Arabidopsis thaliana: one gene and its partners. The protein of the gene in region 1 interacts with the protein of each later gene in a pairwise test. Each region holds a gene or a part of one and is shown in the gene's direction. Other genes may lie near its edges. The genes, in order: AT5G37670, PPD5 and AT4G28440.

Region 1 (6,851 bases):
ACTAAACTCTTTTGTAAGATCTAAATTGACTGTATTAGTGACTGTGGATTTGAAGTCCGCAAAGTCTATTGGTGATACCTTTATACCATTGGTGCTAAAGATATTTGTAAAAAAGTCCTGAGCGTGGTTTCCAATTTCTTTATCTCCTGTGAACATCCTTCCTTGATCGTCCATGATTGTGTTCACTCGATTTTGAGAATATCTTGTTTTTGTACATGCATGAAAATAGCCGGTGTTTTGATCGCCTTCCTTCATCCATTGATTACAACTCTTCTGCTTCCAATAAATCTCTTCGTCACTAAAGGCCTTCGCTAGTGACTCTTGAAGTTGTGGAATTAGTTGTCTTTCAACCCTCCTTGTACTCTCCATTGCTCTGTTTAGGCTGCTTTGAAGTTTTTTGATTCGTTGTTCTGAGTTTAAATTAGAAACGTGTTTCAGTCTTGCCATGGCTTGTCGACAACTACTGATCCGTTCCGTGATAGGTGTAGAACGTGAATTCCAGTTTGTCCTCCAGCTTGTTTGAACAATACGTTTGAATGTCGGTATGTCAATTAAGCGGTTATCAAAACGGAAAAGCTTTGATCGACGGGGAAATGACTCGTTGAAGTGAACTAGGACCGGTTTGTGGTCAGAGCCCGTGAAGTCCAGGAATTCTGTTTCAGCATATGGAAATGTTGCAGTCCAGGCTGAATTAATAAAAACTCTGTCAAGACAACATTTGACTGTGTGTGTATGTCTTTCCCCTACCCAACTGAATCTATCTCCTTTTGATCTCATATCTTCAATGTCACAATGAGAAACCATGTTTCTGAAATTTCTAAAAGTCCATTCCTCTCTCATGGGACCACCAATTTTTTCAGCGTTCGAAAGTATCTCATTGAAGTCACCCACTAGCAACCATTCAGCATTTCGATTATCTGAGATATTTTCAAGAGTTTGCCATAGTTGATGACGTTCAGATTGAGTAGGGTGACCATACACACAAGACAAGTAGAAGCTCTTGTTATTAAATGTTACATGAGAATCAATGAGTCTTTCATCCTGAGAAATCAAGGATAAAGAGACATTGTTTTTCCACATAAGAGCTAAGCCACCACTCCTTCCATTAGGGGGCTGAGTTATTACATTAGGGAAGCCTAAATCATATGCTAGTTTACATACTTTATCACACTGGTTTAAGGTTTCAACTAAAAATAAAATATCATAGTTATACATACGGAATAAGCGAAACAACCGTGATTGAGTCAGCGGCATACCGATGCCCTGACAGTTCCATGAGATGATCCTCATATTGGATCCCTTAGGGGTACCGGGCCCCCCGCGCCTCCGTCACGTCCATCATGTATCGAACACGATCCTGCAGATTCAGTCTTTCTTCCTTTCTTGCAAAGTTGACTCAGAACGCCCATTTCGTCTGCAGCTTCCACCTGTTGGTACATTTCTTCAAATCGAACCCTCTTTCTCTTCATGAAGACAAACTCATTTTGTGCATTGTCAGAGGACTCAAGGAGCAGATCTTTCTCAACCGGTGCGTCAGTTTTAACTCCTGCAAGTTTGGCGTGAAGGTAGCGGAGTCTTTCAACTGTGAGGTCTGTGTCCTCAATGACGCATGGAACCGAATAACCATCTGAAAGTTTTTGTACCTGGCGTTGATTCCCCTTTGAAAGCGAAGATTGAAGGCCGGGAATAAGAGTCGCTGGATCCACTGTCTGAAGAGTATCAGTGTCGCTTATGTCATGTTCTTTGTTGTCGTCGTGATGATCGTCATCATCATCAGCATCATCATCATCACTTGTCTCCACCGGATCTTCATTATCAAAGGAAAGGGTGCATGCCTTGATGTCATGCTTAAGGGAGCCACATTTGGTACAGAAATTCCTTAAACGCTCAAAACGAAACTTTATCACAGTGTTTTCACCATCAGCAAATTGGAAATTTCTTTGGAAGCGTAAAGGATCATCCAAATTCCAATTGATTCGAACTCGCACAAAACCCGTATGGTTTGAGTTCTCATCAAAGTCAACATCAGCAACATGTCCTAATCTATTTCCAACACATCTAGCCATTGCATTGGTAAGGAAAAGGAGAGGAATACCGGTGATTTGTACCCAAAAAGGAATGATCTTCATTTCAGCCTCGCTAAGGTTTGGATACCACCGATGAATCGAAAGCATCCAATCGTTGAATGACCACGGTCCACGACGGAGCACGAGATTCATCGCTTCCTCAGACTGGAACTTGAATTGAACTCTGCCTTTGTCAATAATCCGCCCGACGCACGAATCAGGAAAGCCCCAAACTCGTGGCATTTGTCCTATCAAGGCACGGAGGTTCTGTTTGCGTGGATTCACAGTTGTTACCACCAAGGAGAAACGGTTCACATATGCAGCCTGTGAACAAAATTCTGAAGTTAGAGCCACCGGTTCATCATCAATACCCAAGTTCAAATCCTGAACCGATTTACGAAGTCTGTCACTCATGATTGTGGATGACAGTGTTTGAGAAATGGTGAATTGCAGAAAAGGGAGAAGAAGGAGCGAATTGAAGTATATATAAGTTTGTATCCATGGCGGTTTGTGTGGGTAGTTACCCTCCGAAAGTGAAGGGCAATGATAACTGCCATGGAAACTGATTGGCAGAAAGTAACCGCCGTCATAAAACCGTGAAAAGAGACAGATTATGATGGTCGGAGAACTGCTCCGGCGAGGAGAATTGAAACGGTGTGAGTTAGGCAAAAAATCGCCCTCAGAGAGAGAGAGAGCCATCGTTTTAGCATAATTAGTAGTAGTACTTGATTTTACAAGAATTTCTTTTTTAAAAAAAATAAAAAATATTAATAAAATTAGATTTAACACGTCTATATACAAGAATTTCTTTTTTAAAAAAAATAAAAAATATTAATAAAATTAGATTTAACACGTCGATTATCTCTTTCACTCAAAGTATTTGATACATGTGTTAGCAAATTTGAAAATCATACTTTATATTATAAAATTTTTAAAAATCATTAACTATTCATCACCAATCTCTTCACTTCAAGTCTTCAACTCCCAAATTAGGGTTTAACCTTTTGTTTGAATTCTTATTCTGCCCAATGGAAAATGAAAATATTCGAATCAAAGTTGTTCCGTGGGTTTCGTATCTATCAAAAAATATAGAGTCTAAGACAGTCAAAATCTACCTAGATCCAAAAGTGATCTAACTATAAATAAGTCTAAGCCATAACTCATCTATTATACTATACTAGTGAATACAACTATTAAAATTCTTATATATAACTTGGAAGGTCCAAAGATTTTGGATCCATCAACAGAACAATTGGTTCAAATGTAAAAGTTATGAATGAAGCACAAAGTTCCTAACATGAATCGCACATAGCTCCAAACACGTATCGCACCGGTTTAAGAGACTACTAGCCACAAGGTAGGCAATGAGAGTCATTTCACTTTATTTGGTCTAAGTCTTGCGAATTCTCCATTTTCACGACTGATATGACTCGTTTTATATCTAGTCGTCAACTGTACTTAGTTTTGTTCGGGTTGTGAAATTTTCGTGATTGCATAGAATGTTACTCTTAACTTGATGTTAACCGGTTTCTCCATCATCGTGCAAAGCTGGAAACAAATTACAACAAAAAATCATGTTATAGAGCTAAAGAAAGAAAGGATTGAAATCAATATATGTTGCTATTCATGAAATCTTGAGTATATGAATTATTTTTGAAATTTATATTAATTTTTCTATACTTGAGAACATCTAAATATAATATATTTTTTATATTATACATATAATACTTTTCAAGATTTAAAATTGAAGAGTATATATATATATACCAAAAAAAAGGGACAACAGATAAAGATAAAAGGCCCAAATAATCACAAAAATCCTAGAATCGCATCGAACGGTTAGAATCAATCGATATCCATCATATCAATATACACTGCACCGTAGCATATAACAACCCCCTGGGCTTCTCCAAAGTTCTGGAGTCAGAGAAAATGAAGAAGAAACAAGATAACGAAGAACTGTCTCGACTTCTGTAATCTGTATAAAATACTTTCCACTCAAACATATATACACATCTCTAGAAAACAAGCTTAGCTAAAGAAGAAAGATAGAAGAATATGGCAGACAGAGGAATATTCTTGTATCCATTTAGAAGATTCCAAGAATGGTCAAGATCAACGGCTCTGATTGATTGGATGGAATCAAACAACTCTCATATCTTCAAGATCAACGTTCCTGGTTACAACAAAGAAGACATCAAAGTACAGATTGAAGAAGGGAATGTTTTGAGTATAAGAGGAGAAGGAATAAAGGAAGAGAAGAAGGAGAATTTGGTGTGGCACGTGGCGGAGAGAGAAGCTTTTTCCGGTGGTGGAAGTGAGTTTTTGCGGCGGATTGAGTTGCCGGAGAATGTGAAAGTTGATCAAGTTAAAGCTTACGTGGAGAATGGTGTTCTTACAGTTGTTGTTCCTAAGGACACTTCATCGAAATCGTCTAAAGTTAGGAATGTTAATATTACTAGCAAGCTTTGATGTCTAAACCGGGTTAAACCGGTTTTTGGTTTTCTTAAGATGAATAAAATTGGACTTTGTTATTTCATAAATCTAATGAATTGCAGTATGCCAGTATGTAATATTTAGGAATCCAATAAGATGTTAATATTACTAGCAAGCTTTGAAGTTTTAACCGGATTAAACCGGGTTTTGATTTTCATGAACCGAAAGTATTTGAACATTGAAGAATTGTAAAACAAGATTTAAACCAAGAAGAAACCAAAAGCTGATGATTTACATCTGATTGATTCTCAACAAATAAAACAACATCAAGAAACCAAAAACAAGCTTTGTTTTCCTCTAGACCAATGAGCTTGTTGTGTCTGTTTATGTGGCAGTTCTCGAGTGCTTAATGAGCCAATCGATGACCGCATCAATGTTTATCGAGTCCTTACACGAGATCATGTAACAGCAAACCTCTCTGTCTGTTACAGATTCAAGCCCTCTGCATCAAAACAATCCAAAGTCATATACTCGAATCCAGATTGTTTTGTATGGACTTTGAATAAGAAACTTACAGTTGATCAACCAAAGCTTGCTTAGAGAGAGCTTCAGACTTATCGATTTTGTTGCCAAGAATCAGAAGAGGAATGCCATTTAAAGACGGTTTCGTTAGCAGATCATTCAATTCGCTTCTTGATATCGGTACACTATCTCGATCTGCAGCATCAATCACATATCTGCAATATTACCACAGCAACATATACCATCAAAGATTATTAACCAAATAGTAACATGGGATGTTCAAAACATATCGAAGAAGTTTTAAGAGGATGTACACAATGGCGGAAACACCGCGACAGTAACGTTCCCACATGGTACGAAACCTTCGTTGCCCTCCAAGATCCCAAATCTTTATTGTAACATTTCCTTTTGTAACTTTCCTCATGTTAAATCCTACAGTTGGTATCATATCTTCACTGTAACCTCCAGTCTTGACAAATCCAAAGAAAACAAGAAGTGAAACGCGTAAGATTAGATTTGTTCGAGAATACTATTTATCGACTAAAACCTCTGATGAAATTTCTACTCACAGCAATGGCATTGACAAGAGAAGTCTTCCCAGCATTTTGAAGTCCAACGAGTGACAGCTCCATCTCTTGTTTGAAAAACAAGCTGACACAACAAATATAAGCAAACACAGAATCAAAATCTAAGTGTTACCAAAACGTGATTCTGCTATACACTAAAAACATAAGTATAACCAAAAACAACAATACATTACTAACCAACTATAACCTACTCTTTTAACCATTCTATAACATCACATAAAGCATCACTACTATAAATGGATTAAAATGACAATCAAGTCAAGAGAATTAATACACAAGAACATAGAAATAACGGTAGATTTCTCAGCGAACCAATTCATATAATGTAACAATAAAAGATACAGCCCAAGAAACTCAAGAGAAGTTTGAGATTTTGAAACAATAATTGTTGACTCTTTGTGAGAAAAATTGGTTTTTGGCAACGTTTTTACTAAACCCAGAACTATAACTCTAAACTACTTCAATGGAAGAACAAAAGGACTACAACTAATAAACCAACTTAATCAGCAAAACAAAATGAAAGTTAGAAATTTGTTTACCTCCGGAGCCAATTAAGAAGTGAATCCCAAAGACCCATCTCCAAAGATTTGATCTTTTCGAAGATTTAACACTCGAGTTCTGGATTTGGAGATTCAAAATCGAAATATTTCGTAGCCCTAGTTCGATTCTTGAATTTTGCTAGATGGGTAATGAGAGAAACAGAGAGGAAGAGGAACAGGGAAGAATCTGGACCTTACTTAAGGTAATAGAATTTGTCAGTTTGTGAAAACGGTGTCTCTTCCTTCACTCTTGGTGTCACGCTATTGTTGCTTTTAGAATTTTAGATGTCACCATTCTTTTTTTTTTTGTGTGTTCCTTTTATTTCTTTTATGGGAAATTTGCAAAGAATAACTAACAAAAATTTATAAATTAAAAAAGTAATACAAGAAAAAAAAAACAGCTATATTCTCTATATTATATATAATAATGGCATATTTACCTCTTTCTCTCTACCTTATTCTAAGTTCCTCCTTCTCTCCTCTCTTTTTCATCTTTTTTTTTTTTTTTCTCTCAATCTCTTCTCTTTTTTTTTTCTGTATAACACAACAAACAAACGAAAAGAACAAACTAGATTTTTCAGATACCACTTATGTTATCTGATTGCTTGGGTTGCCAAAGTTGTATCTTAGGGTATAGTTTTCTATACATCCAAAATAGTATAATACAACATTTTATTTCTATCCAAAATAGTACAAGTCTT
Region 2 (7,188 bases), about 11 Mb from region 1:
TTTGGGAAATTATTGGGTAAATTTAAAGAGAATCTTTCGACAACACATACATGGAACAAGAAAGAAACCTATAGTTATATTTTTTTTTTTGTGTAAATTATTATTATTGTAAAGTATTTGTTTTCAAATTTGGTTTACTTATCTTTTTCTTTCGCATTGCAGGTAATGTACTTGGCTTATAAAGACGGCATTTCTGAGAGCCAGCGTGGAAGCCTTATTGAGGTAAAGAAATCAATTCAATTTTTAATGATCTATTACTTGTTCTCTTGTACAACACATTTGAGAACAGAACCGTGAAGGCTCATCTTTTTTCTTCTTCTTTTGGTTAAGGTTATTGATTCCTACGTTGCTGATCAGAGAGTTGGCTACGCAGAGCCAGCTTCAGGAGTGGAGCTTTACCTTTGCCCAACACGTGGGGAGACTCTAGATTTGCTAAACAAAGTCATCTCTCAAGAACAGCTCGATGAGGTCAAGTCTTTGGATATTGGATTGGTTGGAGTTGTTGTGTGGAGACGAGCCGTCGTTCCCAAGCCCGGTTCCGGTTCAAAACGTCAGCATTCTTTTTCTTCTTCTATTGGTTCTAAAACCTCTGTTTTGCCTGTAAACAAGAAGCAGAGAGTGCATGTTACAGAGAAACCTCTTGTTGTTGCATCAATGAGAAATCACCATCATGGTTATGTGAAACATGATACTGCTGCTGATGATGATGTGCCGCCTGGATTTGGTCCTGTGGCTTCAAGAGACGAAGATGATTTACCGGAATTTAACTTTAATTCCTCGGTTGTGCCAGTTTCTTCTCCTCAGCCATTACCAGCTCAATCTAAGTCTTTGGATCAAGTAAGAAAGCTCATACACAAGTATGGAAAATCTGCAAGCACTTATGATGATGATGACGATGAGGACGACATACCTGAATGGCAGCCACACGTCCCTAGCCACCAGCTTCCACCACCGCCGCCTCCACCTCTCGGCTTCAGACCCGAGGTATTTAGACCGCCTCAAGATGGTTGGTATGATAATCAAAACGGAGGATCAGGGCAACACTATGAGCGGAACCAGTCAAGAAACAGAGGATTTTAATATCTCTGTTGAGTGTTCTCTGTAATTGTAGTTTTTTGGTTTCCTAGTCTCTCTTTAGTTTTTCGTTTTCAAAAAATTTGTAGCCATCGTAGAATGCAAATGTTCGAAGAGTCCCAACTTTTCAAATAAAACATTTCAGAGTTTCCTCAAGAAAACGAAAATCAGTATTGCTCTGCTTTTAAAGACAAGTTTGATTGTGGAATCTTGCTAAAATGTCAAAATCTTGTTTGAACATCAAATTTAATCCGGAAATCAGCAAGTAATTTCTTCTATCTAGGTTTCACCATGAATCTAAAAGGATTATTGAAAATGAGGCTAACGAGAGTAAGATTTTTTGATGGGCCGCTCGGCTCAGAGTTCAAGCCTGCAGGAAAATTTGCTCTAAACGGATGAAGATTTCAGTTTATTTCGGTTTACAAGTTAATAATAAGGTTATAACTTATAAAGATTCTCCTTTGTCAAAGTTACTGGTACTAGTTTTAAAAGGATGATTACATATACACCATAATAAACATATCAATATCATATTATTCATAGGAAAATCCAATCCACAGATGGAGCTGCAAAATAAAAAAAGGGGTCAAAAAAGACCAGACTAATCTAATCTGCCCAAACAACACACCACTCAGATTTGAACTTCCAAAACTATACATTTTCCAACTACTCACATATCATCATTTCTCTTAGATACCATCAACTTCATTGATACAATACCCCCATTACTGTACTTATTATGGGTATGCAAACCAAAACAAAAGAAAAAGAAGAAGAAGCAAAACTTCACAACTAAAGGATTCATGAGATCAGGCCGATACAGGTGCATTAGGGATAACCGATGATGTGGATGCAGCGACTTCAGTAGATTTTGATGTTGAAGGCCCTGACTCAGAGATATCCCCAATATCAAGTGTCTCTGGCAGGTTTTCTTCAGATTCAGTGCTGTATATCTATATAGAAAAAGAGTGATCAAAATCATCACTTAAGATCATTACATCAAACAAAAAATAAACGTGAGTAATGAATATACCTCAAGCTGATTCAGCATCTCAATGGTTGCTTCAAGATCACCGCCATTAGCGAGGTAAACATCAGTGATAGACTCTTGTGAGAGACCAGAGAAAGTGACAAGAAGGTATTCAATATCCATGTCTATATCCATCTCCAAATCCAAATCATCATCCCTGATCTGCTTATAAGCCATTTCAGAGGATTTCTTCGGCATTGACACTTCAACCGTGGGGGACTTTGCTGCAAACACCAAACCATCATCACCGCCACCATAATCCACTCTTTTGGAGATTGGTACATACGATGCTGCATGTGGATTCAATGCAAATGCTCCTGGCTTCATTGCTTTGTCTTGCTGATAAAGTTACTGCTAAATTTAGAAGTTAATTAAGAGTCAGAGACAGAAAAGAAATACAAAACAATGATATATTGATTAGAACCAAACATGTCGTATGCAGCAAAATCTAACAATCTCAAATTTGGTCTAACGAGGTATGATGAAACAACCTTTAATGATTTCAACAAAAAAAAATAAAAAGGATATGAAGAGACCTAACTCCTAAGCCAACGTTTCGATGGCGTAACACAGAGTATATAAGGAATCTAAAGGAAATAAATTGAAGATATTAAAATAAAGAAATGTGGTTACATTAGAATCTGGCTCGCGTTGTTACTGCATGGAAAAATCGATGTCGGAAAATACAGAAAACAGGGCAAAAGTAAAAGATTCTTGACAAAGAAGAAATGATGCGAAGAAGAGTGGATTATATGCAAAACAAAATGAAAAGAAGGAATAATGTTTGTTGACCTTGTCAACGATCGACGTAAAAGGAGAAGAAGAAACGAAACATTAGGAGAGAAGAAAATGAGCTTACCAAACAAAAACTAGCGTTGAAGATCGCTCGAATAAATTGTAGAGACAGAGACCTAAATGATGCGATTAATGTGGCAAACCCATGTATTTATGGAATTATTATCGTATAGGTTAGTGTCCGTTTACATGAAGGACACCAAACATCACGATGGGGTTCGTTTGGATACCCGGTTATATTTATCTTTAACCGGGATACTAATATACGTGATTGAAATTAATTCGGTTTAATAAACCGATTGATAACCACCGGTTTAAAAAGTATCAAAACGAAGGAGTGAATGGATGAGAGCTAAAGGGAAGAAGCAAAGTGAAGAAGCTCCAGAACACGCCATAGCTATGGCTCTTCTCTGTCCTTCTCTTCCCTCTCCGAATTCTCGTCTTTTCAGGTTAATTATCTTTTGTGATGTTTCTTGTGTGCTCGAGCCAGTGGCTTTTTCTGTAAGATGTTTTTGTGATTTCGGATGAGATTGTGTTCAGGTGCAGGAGCAGCAATATTTCGAGCAAGTATCATGGAGCCTCAAAGGAGCTGATGATTGCTCGTTCTGGTGTGTCTACGAGATCAATTTCTTCGGAAAAGGGGCTTTCTCGTAGGGATTTAGTGCTCATTGGTCTCTCTTCTCCGTTGTCTATGTTCTTGCCATTGTCTTCTCCAGGTAATGCTTTGCTTCTATTGTTCGTCTTTTAATATCTTGTAGATTCAATTAGATAGTTTCACTTCTACTTAAAAATCTTGCCTTTCATTGGTTAGTAGAGAGAAAGGAAGAAAATTGAGAATCTCTTACAGTGTTTAGTCCATTAATAATCATCTACTTTTTTTGGTTATGTAACGTTTACAGTTTTGTTATTGCAGTCACTCATGCAGAAGAAGACGTGAAAATGAGTGGAGAAGAATTGAAAATGGGTACAATGGTGGATGATATTAATGCTTATTCTTATGCTTACCCATTGGATTATCCATCTGAGAAGCTTGTCTTCAAATGGTATTGACTGAATCCTTTTGATGTAATGCTTCCTTTTAGTTCAAGCTGTATCTCACTCTTTTACATTTTGGTTATGCAGGGTTGAATCAAGAAAGCCTGAAAGATACTCTTCAGCTGCACCACTCTCTCGTAAGTTCTATGCTTCCTTTTGATTTTCATGAATTCTGGATGCATTAACTTGTTACTGAATCTGTTTCAACTGGTCCAGCTGATGCACGTTTACGGATTGTTTCTGAACGAGTTGACCTAACTGACAACCTCGTCATTTCTATTTCGGTAAGTTTCTGGTGTTGCCCATTTAGCATAAGACTGCTTTGCTTCTCTTTGCTATCTTTCTCGTGATATGTCTTTTACGGTTTTTGATTCAGATAGGTCCCCCAAACTCAAGATTAACATCAAAAGAAAAGAAAACATGGTCCGCTAAAGAAGTTGCTGATTCTGTTTTGTCTGATAAATCAGCATTGGTAACCCTTCTAACATGAAACACATCACAGTTACCAATTCTCCTTTTCTTAAACATTAAACAGATTGTTTAAATGAGCAGCGTGTCACCTCAAGTCAGCGTCTTGAAGAGAGTTCGGTTCTTGATGCTCATGCTAGTGATGTGAGTATGATCTTCCACAACAAATCATATAACAACGTAAAAAAAATTGAATCTACAAAGCTCACAAGTCTCATATGCTTACTATATGTAGATTGATGGGGAGCCTTACTGGTACTACGAGTACCTTGTCCGCAAATCACCAACCAAAATTGTAATGCTCTCTAACTCTGAGCAGATTCTTCTTGTTTAAAGACATAAGGAGATTGATTTTGATAGGACTTACTGGCTTTGCTATATGTGGGCAGGCTGAAGCATCAAAGCTTTACAGACACTATATTTCTTCAACAGCTGAACGTGATGGTAAAGAACTTTTCACAAGGGAATTGATTGAGATGCAAAGTTTAGAGTTTGTTTAGCCTGATGTAGAGTAACAACATTTACCTGAATCTCACTCATTGCAGGATACTTATACACCATAAATGCTTCAACCCTTGGCAAGCAGTGGGACAAGGTACAAAACCTGTAACCTCTACTTTCTGTACATCTATTGTATCAGTGTGAGGATGTCTGATTTTGAGGGTCTGTATAAAATGCAGATGGGACCGGTGTTAGAAAGAGCAGTAGGATCCTTTAGGCTTCTTCCTCCTACTGATAGTTATGTTCCTCCATACAAGGATCCATGGAGGTTTTGGTGATGCTTCCATCTGCCTCATGAAATTTCTTTTTTCGAAATTGTCGTTAATTTTGATAGGAGAGGAGGTTATGAAAGTTGTAGTGTGAGAAATGAGCCAAGCGAAGTGATTTTTCCAAATCCGAATATCTTGTTCACTATCAGATGTATTGAGATTGAGATATAACTAGCATTTTCTTTTAAACTCATCTCAACTGGTATCCACAGAGTTTTTGGCTCAGAATCAGATTTACTATCATATGAATATGATATACACAGGGAAAGAACAAAAAAGATGGAGTAACTTTCTTCTTCATAGTACCTCCTTTACTATCATAATACATTGACCACTGCCTCCTTAAGATTTTCAAGGTAGCATAAAAATTTAACAAATGAAAAAGAGGTAGCCAGAGGGGAGCCACATAAACCGGCTTCTACCCTTATATAAATTAAGATAATAATATCTGAATAGATGAACCATAATTATAAATATCCATAACAATAGCCATAGGACCAATCACCCACCAAAACCATGAGAGATGAGACCAAAAGTATTTTTTTTTTGTTAGGTAAGCAGAAGCACAAGCAATATACAAAAATGATCATCCATGGCCGCCTCAGTTTAAAGAAACCAACAGCTCTTTTTTCTTGAACAGATGATCAGCTCAAGCTTCTACTTTTCCTCTTTTCATGGACTCAAATCGATCATGGAAATGGTGGGAGTATTGGAATTAGCCCACGGTGAAGAACACACCGTTACTCTTCTTCTTAGACTCCTTGTCTGAAGACGAGACAGACTTGATTGCTTCTTCTTCATCTCCATCCTCCATTTCCTCATCCAGATCTATCTCCTTTGAACGGCACTCACTACTGCAGAACGCTTTGTATCCACTGAAAACCAAAACCATGACATTGATATTTCACAACATATTCACTTGCGTGTGATCTCATTACATTTGGAACGAAGCTATGCAGTTTAGTAACGAAGTACTGCAAAGAACCTAAGTTTCCATATCTATGATTAGGCCTTTTATGTTTTGGAGATTAGATTCATGTAAGGGAGTTTCTATTGTAGGCTCAAAACTATCGAAAGTTGGAGACTTTATCTTAAACACACAAATGCAAAGAGAATAGAGGAACAATTCTAAGTGCACTAGTAATGAAGGGGAAGAAGAGAGTACCTGTACATGTATATATCTTCTCCCATACCCAACTTCTTGCTACAGCCGTAGCAGAAGCTCAAGAAGTCTTTGGGAGGTAACACATCAACAGGTGTTGTCAAGTCGAGAGGAGCAACAGCAAAAATGCTCTCTTTCTCGTTCTTGCAACAACGGTTCTTCAACTCCTCGCGCTCTACGGACTCCATAACCTGATCCCCGTAAAAATGGGTGGTTTTGGGGTTAGGACCATGTGAAATAACACAAGTGTAGTCCTCTGAGATCTCCATGTCACTTTCAGTACCCCCATTAAGTGATCCTGGGTCTTGCTTGGTCACCTGACAAGCATTGTTGTTCACACTGAAGTTCTCAGCACCGGAACAGTAAGCAGCATCGACGGAGCCAGATTTTCGAAGCTCAAGCACATCAATCACATCATGTCCAATCTCAAAAACAGCATTTGGTATAACATCCTTGGGCATCAAAGCTTTGGTAAAGGGTTGAGAGAGTAGATGAGGTTTCTGGCCACTTCTCATCAAAGATCCAAAGATTATGTTTTTACTATCCGGTGATGGTAAAACAATCGTTGCTGATGAATCAGTGTGATGATCATCAACAAGAGAATGCACAATGCTCAAGCCTACTTTACCAGAATCCCAGCTCCTTTGTTTCCCTCTCCAGATTGACCTCGAAGAAGAAGCAGCAAAAGGGTTCCCTAAAGTGGAGAACAATCTGAAATCCAAAGGAGAAGTTGGGCTCCAAGCTGATTCATAGTCAGATGGACACTTTCCTTCAAACACACTAGAGATGAGTTTGTGGCTTCTAATCGCTGACAAGACCGGTTTTGTCGAATAGTAATCAGAAGCAGTGGTCAT
Region 3 (7,105 bases), on another chromosome or scaffold:
AATGGGAGATTGATCTCCCAGGCATCGAAGCCATGGCAGATGAGAACACAGTTGCAATGGTTATCATAAACCCTAACAACCCCTGTGGAAATGTTTACTCTTACGATCATCTTAAGAAGGTCCGTATTCATACTTTTAATTAGCTTTGACTCGTGAGAGACTCGAAATATTGGTGCTGATGAATGAAACCTTTATAGGTGGCGGAGACGGCTAAGAAGCTGGGAATAATGGTAATCACAGACGAAGTTTATTGCCAAACAATCTTCGGAGACAAACCTTTTGTCCCAATGGGGGAGTTTTCTTCGATAACTCCGGTTATCACTTTGGGCGGTATATCGAAAGGATGGATTGTTCCTGGTTGGAGAATTGGCTGGATCGCTTTGAATGACCCCAGAGGAATTCTCAAGTCCACAGGGGTCTGTCTTCCTTTTTACTGATCATCATACTAACTTGTGTTTTTGTCGCTTGTGTTACAAGTAATCACTCTGTTTTTTCCTTTTTCTTGTAACAGATGGTACAGTCCATTCAACAGAACCTTGACATAACTCCAGATGCTACAACTATTGTTCAAGCTGCACTTCCTGAGATTTTAGGGAAAGCGAATAAAGAGTTGTTTGCCAAGAAGAATTCGATGCTGAAACAAAACGTGGAATTGGTCTGTGATAGGCTCAAGGAGATTCCTTGCTTGGTCTGCAACAAGAAACCTGAGTCATGCACTTACTTATTGGTACCACCACCAACGTCTCTTATACTCTTTCATGATTCTAGATCAATTTGGATGATTCTTATTTCTTAACAACAATTAAACTGCAGACGAAGCTGAAGCTTCCATTGTTGGAGGACATAGAAGACGACATGGATTTCTGTATGAAGCTAGCCAAAGAAGAAAACCTCGTCTTACTACCAGGAGTGGCTTTGGGATTGAAGAACTGGATAAGGATAACAATTGGAGTAGAAGCTCAGATGCTGGAAGATGCACTTGAGAGGCTCAATGGCTTCTGCAAACGCCATCTCAAGAAAACAGAATCTTCTTTTCAAGCTCTGAGCAATGGCAAAATCTAAACCACTCATCTATAGAGAGACTATACACAACCAAATAAAAAATCTGCAATTTTTGTGGTGTAAAAAACAATAATCATGTCATTTTCATATAAGAAACTCTATGTTTCTTAATCTTATTTCTTTGTTTGAGTCAAGTAGAAAAAGACATGAATAATGTTGAATCAAGACTTTATCTTTACCGTTAAAAGAGACGGACCCACTTTGCCGCCGTCAAATTTAAAAAATGCAAAAGATTTGTCTTTTACTTTCTTTCTTCATCAACGGCTCTCTGATCCACAGTAGCCGGAGAAAAAGCAGAGAGCTCAAATTGTCGGAATTAAGAATCCCCAAATCACATCTTCAAGAACCCTAATAAATTCCCAGAGATTCCTCTCATTTAATCACTTCAGATTCGAAAAAAGTTCTCTCTTTTTCCCAAAAAAAACTTTCTCATACAATGGACTCTACTACCACACCTCCTTCTCTCCGTTCGAATACTAGATCCGCTTTGCGTCTAGCTCGAAACAACAAAACTCTCGTAAAATCTCACATTCCATCTCTCGATTTGGTTTTATTGTCTCCGAAGAACAACAACGGTACTCCTTACCCATCACCTGTTTCTCTCAGTTCACCATCTTCTCCTGTTACTCTTCGTGAGATTCTCCTTTTATCTCCTTCCCCTCTTCGTAAATCGAGAACCCGTTTAAGCAATCGGTTCGATATGGAAGCTGCGGAGGCTGCTGTGACGGCACGACGGAGTAAGACGAAGGGAGGGCAAAATGGTCTTTTGGCCTCGCCGTCGCCGAGGAATTTCCGGAGGTCGAGACTAAGGTCGGAGGCGATGGTAGATACAAAGGAAAATACGGAGCCAATTGTTGTCGTGACCGATGAAAAGAAACAAAACCAGAGGAAACAGAAGAAGTTGGGTCGATCTAAGAAGGAGAAGCACAGTTCTGTTCCTCTGTTAGCTTCTCCTAGTCCATCTTCAGATCAACGTATGTCCTTCCTCTGTCTATTAGCTCATTCGATTTCACTTTCGTGCTCTAATAATTGCTCAATGATTTGTGTAATTCAGCTCAAGATGTTTGTCAAGGTGATTTAGAGCGGATTAGAGAGAATATAAGCGATTTGATTATGTGGAGAGATGTTGCGAAATCAACACTTTGGTTTGGTTTTGGCTGTATATGTTTCCTATCTACTTGCTTTGCTGCTAAAGGATTTAACTTTAGGTAACATTGATTTCTCTGTCAAGGTTTATCTTTCTAGCTTTAATCATTTTTCACATTCATGAGTTGATAATGAAACTTTGTGTGGTTTGAAGTGTTTTCTCAGCGATCTCCTATCTTGGACTTTTGTTTCTTGGGGTATCGTTCTTGTCAAATACTCTTCGCCAAAGGTACAAACTTTTAAGGTCCCAGTACATAAATATCAGCTTGAACTGCAGTTGACTGAAGTTTTGATCCATTTGTTACCATAAAGGGTTACTGAAGAAGCGCGGAGAGAGCTTAAATTGAGTGAAGATGATGTATTACGAATAGCTAGACGAATGCTTCCCATCACCAATTTAGCAATTTCAAAGACGAGTGAGCTTTTCTCTGGTGAACCAGCAATGACACTCAAAGTAGAATTTACAAAACTTTGCCATTCTCATAAAACTTCTCTCCAATGAATGTGACTCTCACGTTGATTTTGTCCTTCTTACACTGTTTTTACTTTGATTTCAGGTGGCACCTTTTGTTCTAATGGGAGCTGAGTATGGTTACCTCATAACATTGTGGAGATTATGTGCTTTTGGTATGATTGTTGAAACACTATATGTCAACATTACTCCAAAGAAAGCTAAACTGTTTTCTTTAGTTGTATCTAGTAGAATTGACACAGAGTATGCATTGTTTCTTTAAACAGGTTTCTTCCTTAGCTTCACTATTCCAAAGCTATATTCATGTTACGCAAGTCAGCTTAACCAAAAAGGTAAACTCTATTAACAGACTGCGTAGCTCTTTGATGGTTCCAATGATTGACACTAAGGATTCTTTGATCTTTGCTTATGTGTAGTTGAGTGTGCACAAAGGAGATTTGTTGAAGCTTGGGGAGTTTGCACACACAAGAAATTCGTAGCAGGCTCTGCAGTTACTGCATTCTGGAATCTAACTTCTCTCAAGACCCGTTTTATTGCAGTGTTTATCATAGTAGTAGTAATCAGATACAGACGACAGAATCTACAGTTAGATTCCGAGGATGAGGAGGAGAAGAAGCAACAAGAAAAAACTCACCCGGAGCAACAAAAATCGCCGGAGGATAAGTCAACTTCACCGCGGTCAGCAGAAGAAGAGCAAGCGTTGGTGCTAGTTGCAGAAACCAAAGCACCAAAGAAGCTTTATTAGTCTAGTCACTAGTGTCTTTTCAGTATCCACCTGTGTAATAATATTTCACATTTACGTAATAATAAATAAAGAGCAGTCATTAATATCAAATAATAAATTGACACGTGACAAGCTCATGAAACTGTGAGAAGCAGGTGATAAAAACTCTCGTCCGTCTTGGGAGAGAGCACATCGTCGTCTTTTCTTTATAAACCCTAAATTCCCATTTCTCTTCTCCAAAAGTTTTATCGATTCCACCAAATTAGGGCGAACGCGAAATCTGGGTATTGTAATTTGAAGCGATGGCGACGACTGGAACTGCTGCGGTTGCGACGGGAACTTCGACGGTGAAGAGAAAACCGGTGTTTGTGAAGGTGGAACAGCTAAAGCCTGGAACGACTGGTCACACGTTGACTGTTAAAGTCATTGAGGCTAATATCGTGGTTCCTGTTACCCGGAAGACTCGTCCAGCGAGTTCTCTGAGTCGTCCTTCTCAGCCTAGTCGAATCGTTGAGTGTCTCATCGGTGACGAAACTGGGTGTATCCTCTTCACTGCTCGTAACGATCAAGGTTATTGTTTCTCCACTTTTCTCTTGCTTTATGGATATAGAAATGGTGTCTTCGTAGTTTATTAGAGTGATAAGTCTTATCCTTTGTTGTTCTCTCGTTTGTCTTAATCAATTTCTATTTTGAGCAAATGGTAAATGTGTTTCTATTAGTACTATTTGGTAAATGATGTATCAGTTATTGTATGTGTATTTAGTGATGTCTTTGTGAAATTGAAGCTTGAAAGAATCTTGGCCTTGAGGGTCTGTAACTCTGTATAGTCTTACCTATAGTGATGATGAAACTTGCTTGGTTAGATGTTGAGTTATGTTCAATTGAATGGTCTACATTATCCCAAAACTTTCATAGCTTTTCATAATGTGAAGTTTTGTTATACCAGTTTTCGTGCAATTGATGTGGCTACTGATTAGCTCTAATGATGTTATTGGTTTTTTTTGTGTGTGTGTGTGTGTGTATAGTTGATCTTATGAAGCCGGGTGCTACGGTGATACTGCGCAATTCAAGGATAGACATGTTCAAGGGTACAATGAGGCTAGGAGTTGATAAATGGGGACGCATCGAAGCCACTGGAGCCGCGTCTTTCACTGTCAAGGAGGATAACAATCTGTCTCTCGTTGAGTATGAACTGATCAATGTTGGTGGTGATCAGTGATCTTTTAGTATGTTTATGGAGGTTAACCCCTGAGAGTGTTGGGTTCTGATTTTTCTACCGTGAAGGTCTTTGATTTAGATGATGAAGATTGTATGACTGGTCCAGAGTTGCTTGTAGGAATATGCTTCTTCTTTTTTACCCTAAAATATGCGGTCATGATCTTGCTCTGGAGAACTATTGAGCCTGCGGTAATGGCGTAATGCAATTGTTCCTTTTAATTTGTGTTGATGTAAGTTAAAGACCATTGAGAGCTTGCTTGTGCACTATCTAATACAGTAAAAATAAGTTTTTCTTTCTTAAACTTTACTAATGTCTTTGTTTTTTCATTAATTACTATTTGATGTACACTATTGTACCCTCTCGGTTACAGAGAGTTTTGCCCAACTTTTTACATCGAAAGCATCTCATCCTTGATTAATGTCATTGTTAAGACAAATTGTAAGTGCATAAAATTCATCGACGGATCATAGAACCATTGTCTAGTTAAGTCGGTCTAATTCCAAACTTTATAAATCTTTGAAATCAGAATGTTACTTTGAAGATCAGCTTTGTAACACCAAAAACGAATAGTTAATGAACACAATACGTAGTGAAGAGAAAAAAGAAAACGAAATGGGTAATAACTTAATGGCATAAAGAAAGGCTTACAACACAGCAAAAATGTTCATGTTCCTAATCTTACCCTCACTATACCAATACAATCCTCTCCACGTATCATCATCCTTGAAAGGAACAAACGGAGAAAGAGTAGAGTCACTCCACTTCTTTGATGATCTTTCTTTTGCGCAGAGGTGCTGTGACCACTGTTCCTGGAGCACTGTGAGCTTTCCTTCGTGCTTCTTTTCTTCTCTTCGAATCGTTCACAGTTCGAATGATACCCATCGCTTTGTATATTGGTTTTGGCAAGTGCCTGTGTCTGTAATTCACAATAACCAAAACGTTACCATGTTACTATAGTTATCTTTTGACAATCTCCAGAGTTAAAGCATGGGATAAAACCACAGTTTTCATTGGTCATTTACCTCACAATGCGCTTAACCTCAGAAAGATGCTTGTACCGGTTCTTCACAGCCTCGTTGTACTCATGCTTCTTTTGTTCCCTTGGAAGAATCTGCAGCACAACACACCAATTAACATTGACAATTCACCGTTCCAAGTTAAAACTTCTTAAGAAAGCATGTACGAGTAATATCTCATAATCATATGCACTATTGGATCAACTGCTAAGCCTGTGGTAACTCTTTTTTGGTCTTTATTTTGTATAAATTCACAGAATCTTACAACTCCCAATTGCTCTGATGCCTTTGCCTTCCATAGCCTGAGATTGGTGTCATCACTGCCCGATATTACATATGTAGCATCACAGCTATATTTGACACAGAATACTCTACAAGAAAAAAGAAATGAAATTTAGAAATTGCTTAGACTAAATCAAATTACCAAGGTGGTACACTAGAACATCTGAACTTGAAGTATATATAGACTGTTCAGTAGATTGTACCTCTGCATCCTCTTTGTATGGTAGATTTCCCTGCTGTGTCCTCCATTGTATGGGAAGATTCTCACAGATCGATCATAAGAACCCGTAACAAACTCACGACCAGTCGGTGAAAAGTCAATATCCATCCTGAAAAATGATGAAATTAGATAATCATAATGCATTTGGATGATATCTTGTTAAATATTATAGCTGATACTTGAGATAAATCATTCTTCATTCTTACACTGCAGAAACATGATCTTTATGCACGCACTTGGCTTCGTCCAACTTTCTACCATCAAAGCTATAGCAACTTCCATCTTCATTAGCCTATTCAGTTTCCCCATGGGATAAAATTAGCACATAAGCAAAAGACAAACGCTGATTTAGCATAGCCCATCACAGAAAAATTCACTTTATGATTATCACTTACAGCTGTCAGGTTCATAGGCTCCATGGGGTTCCATGCAATTGAATTTGTTTTTGTCTGCCAAAAGAAAAGCAATTAGCAGACCACGGTTGCAATTGTTTAGTTTGAAGGGTATTAATGATTAAATATGACGAGAATATGTAAAAAAGTTTCAACTATACCATCATGATAATTTTCCTTGCCGCAGAAGACAAGCGGAGATCATATATGGTTATGCTCCGGTCACTGGAAGAAGAGATATCCCCTTACAGTGTTAGAGAAAGCTCTGGAAGGTGTAGCACAGACAATTACATGACATATACAAGTATAAAGTAGAAAGAATATACCTAGCTGATGTAGCCAATAAATTAGGCTCTCCAGGATTAAACCGAACAGATATTACAGAGTCAGTTCCCCACTGGAAACTCTGAACTGGCTGAGACCTAATTACAAAAAGTAAAACCATAAGCCCTGCTTACGTAAAATTAAAACAAACACCAAAGATTTCTTTTAGCAGGAGCCTGAGTACCTATTATGATTCCATATATCAAGTTGAGCTCCGGCCGTAGCAAAAAGGTCACCTTCAAACTGAT

What was found.
Region 2: the proteins of AT5G37670 (region 1) and PPD5 interact in a two-hybrid assay, tested with the Arabidopsis thaliana proteins (one large-scale study listed by BioGRID).
Region 3: the proteins of AT5G37670 (region 1) and AT4G28440 interact in a two-hybrid assay, tested with the Arabidopsis thaliana proteins (one large-scale study listed by BioGRID).

What each region holds. Positions count from the first base shown.
Region 1 is NC_003076.8:14,964,911-14,971,761, forward strand, and holds AT5G37670 (HSP20-like chaperones superfamily protein), read left to right. Parts: upstream 1-3,847; 5' UTR 3,848-4,124; coding exon 4,125-4,538; 3' UTR 4,539-4,681; downstream 4,682-6,851. Other genes in the region: ARLA1A (ADP-ribosylation factor-like A1A), read right to left, coding at 4,887-5,004, 5,078-5,239, 5,339-5,493, 5,594-5,675, 6,151-6,188. UniProt on the Arabidopsis thaliana protein: Possesses chaperone activity.
Region 2 is NC_003076.8:3,651,177-3,658,364, forward strand, and holds PPD5 (PsbP domain protein (Mog1/PsbP/DUF1795-like photosystem II reaction center PsbP family protein)), read left to right. Parts: upstream 1-3,215; 5' UTR 3,216-3,244; coding exon 3,245-3,348; intron 3,349-3,439; coding exon 3,440-3,615; intron 3,616-3,812; coding exon 3,813-3,942; intron 3,943-4,021; coding exon 4,022-4,071; intron 4,072-4,150; coding exon 4,151-4,218; intron 4,219-4,310; coding exon 4,311-4,406; intron 4,407-4,486; coding exon 4,487-4,546; intron 4,547-4,637; coding exon 4,638-4,697; intron 4,698-4,791; coding exon 4,792-4,846; intron 4,847-4,947; coding exon 4,948-4,997; intron 4,998-5,082; coding exon 5,083-5,181; 3' UTR 5,182-5,471; downstream 5,472-7,188. Other genes in the region: AT5G11430 (SPOC domain / Transcription elongation factor S-II protein), read left to right, coding at 163-222, 331-1,080; CID5 (CTC-interacting domain 5), read right to left, coding at 1,884-2,027, 2,108-2,431; AT5G11460 (hypothetical protein (DUF581)), read right to left, coding at 5,888-6,047, 6,338-7,188. UniProt on the Arabidopsis thaliana protein: Involved in strigolactone biosynthesis.
Region 3 is NC_003075.7:14,056,348-14,063,452, forward strand, and holds AT4G28440 (Nucleic acid-binding, OB-fold-like protein), read left to right. Parts: upstream 1-3,548; 5' UTR 3,549-3,706; coding exon 3,707-3,974; intron 3,975-4,429; coding exon 4,430-4,623; 3' UTR 4,624-5,039; downstream 5,040-7,105. Other genes in the region: AT4G28420 (Tyrosine transaminase family protein), read left to right, coding at 1-119, 198-416, 512-727, 814-1,062; AT4G28430 (Reticulon family protein), read left to right, coding at 1,499-2,036, 2,117-2,270, 2,363-2,437, 2,521-2,662, 2,766-2,835, 2,947-3,012, 3,097-3,425; AT4G28450 (WD repeat and SOF domain-containing protein 1), read right to left, coding at 5,377-5,539, 5,646-5,734, 5,905-6,010, 6,125-6,250, 6,348-6,433, 6,537-6,590, 6,695-6,758, 6,860-6,955 and 1 more.